2 linked regions of the Nothobranchius furzeri genome follow. The protein of the gene in region 2 purifies or fractionates together with the protein of the main gene of each other region. This does not show direct contact. Links are inferred from orthologs where the notes say so. Each region holds a gene or a part of one and is shown on either strand. Other genes may lie near its edges.

The links.
Region 1: the proteins of exosc8 (region 2) and mphosph6 purify together in Homo sapiens (affinity purification with mass spectrometry; 4 studies listed by BioGRID and IntAct, counting the BioPlex papers as one, with this or other methods). This does not show direct contact. The link is inferred for Nothobranchius furzeri from reciprocal best matches to the Homo sapiens genes EXOSC8 and MPHOSPH6.

The regions. Positions count from the first base shown.
Region 1 is NC_091744.1:80,075,347-80,079,440, reverse strand, and holds the start of mphosph6 (M-phase phosphoprotein 6), read right to left. Parts: upstream 2,805-4,094; 5' UTR 2,653-2,804; coding exon 2,605-2,652; intron 1,912-2,604; coding exon 1,799-1,911; intron 1-1,798. UniProt on the Homo sapiens protein: RNA-binding protein that associates with the RNA exosome complex. Involved in the 3'-processing of the 7S pre-RNA to the mature 5.8S rRNA and play a role in recruiting the RNA exosome complex to pre-rRNA; this function may include C1D.
Region 2 is NC_091750.1:62,637,150-62,641,266, reverse strand, and holds exosc8 (exosome complex component RRP43), read right to left. Parts: upstream 2,713-4,117; 5' UTR 2,648-2,712; coding exon 2,631-2,647; intron 2,368-2,630; coding exon 2,331-2,367; intron 2,234-2,330; coding exon 2,170-2,233; intron 1,985-2,169; coding exon 1,911-1,984; intron 1,837-1,910; coding exon 1,791-1,836; intron 1,657-1,790; coding exon 1,551-1,656; intron 1,468-1,550; coding exon 1,422-1,467; intron 1,348-1,421; coding exon 1,251-1,347; intron 1,171-1,250; coding exon 1,050-1,170; intron 962-1,049; coding exon 855-961; intron 733-854; coding exon 614-732; 3' UTR 513-613; downstream 1-512. UniProt on the Homo sapiens protein: Non-catalytic component of the RNA exosome complex which has 3'->5' exoribonuclease activity and participates in a multitude of cellular RNA processing and degradation events.

The DNA.
Region 1 (4,094 bases), on a different chromosome or scaffold from region 2:
GCCTGTCATCCACACGAAAACTGATCTTTTTAAAAAAACTCCGGCCAAAGTGAAGATGTGCGTTTTCTCCGTGTTGGGTGTCTGCGTGTGGACGGACAAAACCGGAGTTTTAAGGTCCGCAACGTCACTTTCTGCGACAAAGCAATGCTGACATCACGTGTGCGACCTGTGTTTACACTAGCCGACAGCATGGATGCCCTCAGAGCTGCGCTCGCTTTATCAATTGTCCAAGCGCTTTCTGCTTGTTTGTTTTTGCAAGAGGAATTACTGCTCCTTGCGGAAGACCACAGACGAAGGACGAGGTTAAGAACGGGGAAAGTACTGCCGCCTACAGGTCTGGCATGTCCTTAACAACGTATTTATCCAGGTACGTGTGGACAGTTTGTTTTTAAAACGAGGTGGTGTGGATGCAAGTTTTTGGAGGGGCGGATATTCGTTTTTAAAAAACCCCGGCTACGTGTGGACTAGGCCACAGTCTCATGACAGAATAAAAAAAGGGAAAGGCCCCACATGACCAGACACAGACAGGTTGTAACCATCTAATGACTTTTGAGGTTGTTTTTCTTTAAAACAAATCAGCGCGGCGGCGGGGCCCGAGGAGCCGGGGAAGAAGCACTGGCCGAGCGAAGGTGCAGTGAGGAGGAGAGCCGTCCTGACAAATAAACGTGTGTGTGTGTGTGTGTGTGTGTGCACGCGCTGTTTACTTTCATAATGCAGTAAGTAAAATAAGACAAACCTCACATGTCTCGAGTCACAATGAATTTGCGCGATACTTCAAAGCCTTGTTTACCGCTGCTACCAGAAACATTGAATGGAAAGAGAGGAGGCGGCGGCCATGTTGTAGCTGCGGAGCGTCGAGGCAGTAAAACTGACAAATAGGGCTGGGCGGATCGAGCTAAGATATCGATAGTATCGATCTAACGTTGGTATTGAGTATTTACTAGATACCTGCGTGATGGTATCGATTCCGTTTCTTCTAGCCTGGCAAGCATTGATTTACTCACCGCTACAGATGTCGGTCAACGAGGCAGTCCACCAAACTCCGTCAAAGAAGATGCAAAACACATCCTTTTCCTAAATAAACGTTAGTACTTCTATCTGATCTTGACTCAAACAAAAGCTAAAAAGTCATAATAGTCCAAACTTGACGCCAAAGCCATTTCAAACGAGCGGCTGACCGCCGACTAGTCAGTAGTGCTGTACGATACTGCAAAATTTGGTATCGATCCGATACCAAGTAAATACAGGGGCTAGTATTGCCGCCCAATACCAATACTTTTTACTACTAATCTAGTACCATCTAGTTTTGTGGGAATTATTAAGATAAATAGGATCAATAAAATTTGAGTTTTCAGACAACATCCTGCCTAAATAATACATTTATTTAGTCTGGCTTGCCAGGCTAGTGCTGGCGCGCTGTTTTACTTTTTTTTTTAATGTAACGGCGGGCTGCCCCGTTGACTGACATCCGTGGCATTCCAATCAGTGTTTTACTGGTTTGTTGGGCCAATCACAGTGCTCTTTTAGCGAGGTGGGAGGGATGTCCCTGCAAACAAACATGGCTGCCGCTCGAAACTGTCCAAACATAGGTATCAGCCAGGTAAACTACAAATAAAGATGGCTGCTGTTCTGTAGTGGTCCAATCATGGCGCTATATAGATTTCATGGACCAATCGCAACACTAAGTAGGCAGGATGTTATTGGAAAACAAAAAAAAAAAAACGTAGATCCCACCCCATTATTTAGATCTGTCTATGGGTCGTGGCTCGCCAGGCTAGTGGGATTCCTGTTCTCATACTCTTTAGATTTGAGCTCCGGCAGGTCCAGGTGCCAGTGTTCATCACTGATGATCCTCTTCTCGTCTTCGTCCAGCTGCTTCTTTGTCTCAGCATCCAGTCCCCTCTGCATAAACTGAAACACAAAGCACACATTTACTCAATCTGGACCCAACCAAAACCACCGTTAGCCAGGTCCACAACAATGCTGCCAAGATCATCAGCTTCCTGGAAGATCCAGAACTTCTAAAGTTGACTTCCATCAGAAATCTTCTCTCTTCCCACAACTCCTGGTTCTCAGGCAGCAGCAAGTTTGGTTCCTTCCTAGAGGTTCTAACAGTAAAACAAGAGGCACAGCTTTCCCTTCCCAGGCTCCTCTCTGGCGGCCACCAGGTCTCCCAGAACCAGTCGGTCCATCCTGGACTTGATTCTGTAGGACGTTGCGTGGTGCTGCTCAGGATGGAGGACGTGTTGGGAGTGAAGATTCTAATCATTGCACCAGAAGCTCTGGCTTTTTGTGAGCTGTGGTTCGGATTTTTTTGGACTTTGGTAGAATCTTCTCTCAGGTTCGGTCCTGGTTCAGAGTGGTCCAGATGAAGGAGGCACATCCCGCTCCTCCACGGGTTCACAGAGATCAGATACATCTCTGAAACACGCCTAAATCCGCTTCGTCTCGTTGCTTTACCCCGAATTCAAGTTCAGTTTCAGGGTGATAAACGCTGCTTGGAGTCAGCATCTGGGAGGAAACTAGCGTCTTCTTATCACACATCAAACGTTCATTTCTGTTTAGTCAATGACGTTCGGCGCAGAGCTAGCAGCTAACGCTTACCTTCATCCGCAGCAGGTTTTTTGACAGTTTGAATGAATCTTCCGCCATATTGTGCCGATTAATTTATACTAATTTAAAGTAAATCCGAACTCATTCAAACGAACTCGTTTAGATCTAACAATCAGCACTTAGCATTAGCCACTGGGCTAAGCGCTCACCACAGTCTGAAACAATCGAACATTGATGCGCATGCATGGTCGATGTTAAGGATGATGAATCAAACACGAGCAGCTGTTCGAATTGGATCCTGGTCATCTAACCTTTTCTAGAAAGATAAAAGGACATGACCGTGAAAACACTCGAAGATGAATTTGTGTAAATTATTTCAGTTTATATGTTTGTTTGTTTAAACCGAAACACATTAGCCAACAATAATTTAAAGACCAATGTGGCTAGCTTGAAGCCCCTCCCATTCACCATGGTAACACATGCTGGAGACAAGCCCCCAAAATTCAGCGCACAGATTTCACTCACAAACGCAGAAAGGTTCACAAATGAGAAGCTTTTCGTAAATGCACGTTCAGCAATTCGGATGATCTGTGAGTTTATATTACAAGTGTTCTTACAAATAATATTTGTGAACCACAGAGTGTGAACTTCAGAATTAGCGTGTGCATTTGTGGAAAATGTTGCGTGACTTATTTTTTCACATTATATTTATGAGTCAAAGAGTGTGAATTTCCGAATGAGCTTGTGCATTTGTGTTCCTCCGAATTATATTTGTGAAACACAAGAGTGTGGCTTTCCGAATGAACGTGTGCATTTGTGGAAAACGTTGTGTGACTTAATTCTTATGTCACTGCTTCCACTCCAGTCGGGGTTCTTTTTCCCCCCCCCTCTCTCTCTCTCCTCTTCCTGAGGAGGATCCACTCCCTCTTTCCTATTCACTCTCTCTCTCTTTCTTTACATTTTTAATCACAATTGTCTATTTTTTGCTCATTTTAATTTAATCATTTTCTAAATTCTTTTTTCTATTTTACATGTTTTGTTTTTGTGAAGCGCCCTGTGATTTTTATCTTGAGAGGCGCTATAGAAAAGATCTTTTTTTCTCTCTCTCTCTCTTAATTCATGCACTTAAATATTAATGTTCTGATTTTATTGAAAAACTTGTTCTGTAATAGTTCCTTTACTATTGTGATCAAAAACATTTAATCTCAACTCTGAGGCTGCTCTGTAAATAGTTTTCAAATAAACAATACACATAGCAACTTCTGATCAAACTTAAAGAGCAAGTAACGTCTAAATTAACTTTTTTTTGCTGATGAACTGTATAAATGAGTGTCTAATAGTGTTTTAAATGTGTGTATTCATTATTTTAGCATTTTGGTGCATTTTCTTAAAAAATTAAAAATTCTGCCTAAATACCACAGTATAGCTCCACCTTCAGCTTAAAACATAGAATTTGACTCATTTTGAATAAATTTTAGCCAATGGCTAAAGAGTAAGATACTACGTAATCCAGTAGAGTACTACGTAGCAGCTCTGTGTCA
Region 2 (4,117 bases):
AACAGAAAAATTTTTATGATTTGGTTCTCAGATGTTTTCTGAAAACCAAACCTTTGTCCACTGTGGGGGAACTGGTTTCTACAGCAGGAAGCCCGAAGCTCTAAGAGCCTTGGTGATATTTTTTTTCAGATGATCAAGAAGAAGACGGGTCTTGTAGGTAACGAGCTTCCACGGTTACATATTTCTACTTTCGGAAGACTTTTCTCTGCCGAGGCCCTGTGGAGTGAGAGGACATTTTAAAGAGAATTTCGCATGAGGCTGCCCTTTAAGCACAGATTAGCAACACCAAGCCGTCCACGTGTCCACGACGTGAAAATGCAAATCTGATCTTGGGGAGTATTCCGGCGCAGGGCTCACGCGAGGACTCAGAGTCATCATGCAAGACGGCGTGCGTTTGTACAGCAGATTTTCAAAAGGTGTTACCTTTTAACAAGGAGCCATGAGCATATTCTTACATGAATTAAGACATCAGCTAAGTGTGCGTGAGACATTTCTGGACACTGAAAAGATAATTTTTTTAAGTCTTTGTCAGCAGTTTTATTGTTATTAAAAAAGAATATATATTGACAGTGGAAAATACAACTTTTAGATAAAAAATGTTGTCTGAGTGTATTTATTGAGCTGTCTTCATGCTTTTTATGACTTTCTCAATAAGTTTGTGGATCTCTCCCTTTCGTGCCGTTGCTCTTTTGATGCACTCCTGCAGCTTCTCTCCCGACAGTGGCGTTCCACCTGGAGGCAAAGTTTGCAGAGCCTTTTATCCCCGTTTTCTCAAAATACTCAAAATAATCTGAAGCTTTATTTCATGGCAGAAGCACCACAAATCTAAAGATCACAGATGTGCCATCTCTGACCTGGTTTATGTAAGGAGCACAGCTGATCTTCCTCATCCATCACCACAGTGAGGCGTGCCGTCGACAGGCTCTCCTCCTCGGCGGTGGGGTCTACGATCAGTATGGAGCTGCACAGGAAAACCAAAAAGGCTTAAAGAAGAACAAAATGGCACTTGTACCTAAAATAAAAATTGAATTGAAATCAAACAAACGTACTCATCAAAGATGCAAAAGGAGACGCTGACTGGATGTCGGTGAATGTTAAGTTTGTGTTTCTTTTCAAAATTCACCTCCGGGGCGGACGTCTCTTTGTTGATGGTGACTTCTGGGAGTTGTGCTGCAGGGAAAGATTACTAAAAGATAGATTTATTTTATTTATTACATGCACCGTTTCAGTAAAGTCTCAACCCTACTTACTGGTTTTCAGGGCAGCCAGAAGGGCGACAACACAAGCATCTAGGATGTTCCCGTCATAGTCGAGACACATGATGTCACAGTAGAGGACCCAGCAGAGCTGCAACAAGATTTAGCAGAATTATGATTGAATATATTACAACAAATAAAGTCCACACATGAGTCTAAAATCACCTTTCCTCGGCCAATGCACAAGTCTTCTTTCTTGATCACCTCAGAGCTGCACGACACATGAAGGTTAAGTCAAAGCAGTGGCAGAAACACTACAGCTGGAAACTAAAGGTGTTTGAAGGCTTAACACACCTCTCAATGATATCAGCGATGAACTGGCTGGCAGCCTGGGCCTGTTCCCCTGGTGGGCCTGGTCGGAAGCGGGACGAACACAGGGGTGGCAGGTCTACATTGGGCACTTTTTTAAAACATATATAGACAGATGATGATGTCATAATAAAATACAGAATCAAACAGAAAATACGAGATAAAGAATTAAGCAATGAAAACCTGATGGAAACAAGGAGGCTGTAAAATGTGTTCAGAACTTACCTATGTAACCTTTACCAGGTGCATCCACAGTAGGGTTAGTCAGCTCCTGCATATGAACACATGACTTTAACACCTAAAGAAATCTTAGCAGTAGCGGTTTGAGTCATTGTGCACCAGTACCGCTTTGATGCCACAGATGATCGTGGTGTTTCCCAGCTTTACCAGAGCGGAGCCGTCTGCAGTGGAAATAGACCCTGAACAGAAAATAAGTAAAAACTGTTACAGCTGGCAGTGATCAGCCCTTTAGGCACTGGAAAATGTTGGAGTTGAAAAAATATGAGCCGACTCATTTTGTATTAGAAGTACATATTATTTTATTTACATCATATCTAAAATTATGTTTTATTACAGGGAGGAAACATTTAATTTATTTTCTTACCAATGTTTAAGGTTGTACTTCTAAATTCAGACAACTCCCGCCCATCAGGTCTACAATTTTCTTTCTGCAAATGAAGCATTTGCAATTACAATGACACTAATAACAATAATAATAACATTTATGGGTTTCTACTGGGTATAGTTTGTATGTATTTGACGAACCAAAAAGCTCCTGTGATACTCCAGAGGCTCCGCCGTCCTGAAAGTTTAAAGAAATTAAATAAGACAAATTAGTAACAAACACGTGCGATCCTGCAATAAACAGCAGACCGATAAATCTAACAAATAAAGTGTACTATCCCGTCACTAGCCCAACTGACGTCACAGAAATGTTGTTTCTGTATTTTTTGACAAGCAAACTAAATTTAGATATAACACTGAACATTAAATATATCGATGATATATATTTGATGAAAATCAAAGTCTGAATATAAAGAAAAATACATGTTAAAAATGACTTACTTGAAACCAGCCGCCATGATGTTTTGATTACCCACGTGAACTACGGTGGCCGCGACGAAACTGTGATTACCAACGACAAGTGTGCATTACCGCCACCAACTGGACTGGAGTTCGGAAATGAACGAAAAACTGGCCAACAAATTCGTCTTTTTCAAAAATGAGTTGGTGTTGTAAGGTCAATAAAACTTTCAAATTGATAACCGGTCACAATTAATAAAGATTAAATAAAACTCGATATATTAATTTGCTAAACAAACAATATTGTAGTGTTTAAACAATTGACAGTGAATAAATATTCCTTACAAACTCCTCTTTCCTAACCGAACAATCCAGAGCAAAATTGTGGATTCTCTTATGTCTTCAAACTGAACTTTTTAGTTAGAATGGTTTGGATCATTCTTTTAAAATACAAAATTAAACTGTTAAACAAGTCATGTGTTTTGATGTTGGTGTGTGTGTGTGTGTGTGTGCGTGCGTGCGTGCGTGCGTGTGTGTGTGTGTGTGTGTGTGTGTGTGTGTGTGTGTGTGTGTGTGTGTGTGTGTGTGTGTGTGTGTGTGTGTGTGTGTGTGTGAGCAGTGCATGCATGGCAACTCGGTTTTCTGATTATTTTCTGCTTTACTGTTTTCTTTACTCAACCTCAAACGAGCAGTTAGATATCTGAAGATTGTCTTGGTCTGTTGATGTTTTGTTGCATTAACCCTCTGATGCATGAATTATGAAATCTTCAACCATGATTTTTTAAACTATTTTTTTCATTCATCTTTAGGTGTGAATGAAACAAATTTCAACAAATATTTTTTGTACCATTTTGTTAATTTACAAATACTTTATTACATGTCCATCTCAGTGGACAATGTGCATTCTGAACATGAAATATGGTGGCTTGACTTACTGAAGTCCAAATGGAAGGGCTCATATGCAATAAAGTCTTCAACAGCTGTGCTTAATAGCAAAAATAAATAAATAACAATTTTGAGTAACTGTCCACTGTAGTGACCGTTATGCACCAAAGGGTTAAGCAGCAAAATAAGCTCAGTTTTTGTGCTGGAGCAGGGAAACAAGTAAAACATGATGGATATGGAATATCGAGGCCCAGGGTTAGAGAGGTGGTGTAAAAAATAGGCGTCATTGCTTTTTAACTTCACTAGCTGGTGGGCCGGTCTCGGCTCAAAACGAACTGGCTGATTTTTTGTCCCAGTCCAGCCCTGTTGGGGACCCATGGTCGGAAATAGATGGGTGTGACTTAGCTTCCCATTGAGCGTGAGACACGTGTCTGACCCCTTTCACACACCTCCTCGTGCATGGAAACCATCACAAGTTGGCAGCCCTGTAGAAAATAACTTAGTTCTCTTGCATTACTCACCTTCTGTTATTCTATCAAAGCTGTTATAACAAATCTGTTAGTAAGCTGGGTTTTGAGAAAAAAAAACACTGTCACAATACACACTCCTCCCCTGCAGGAACTGGCAACTCGTGATGTCGGATG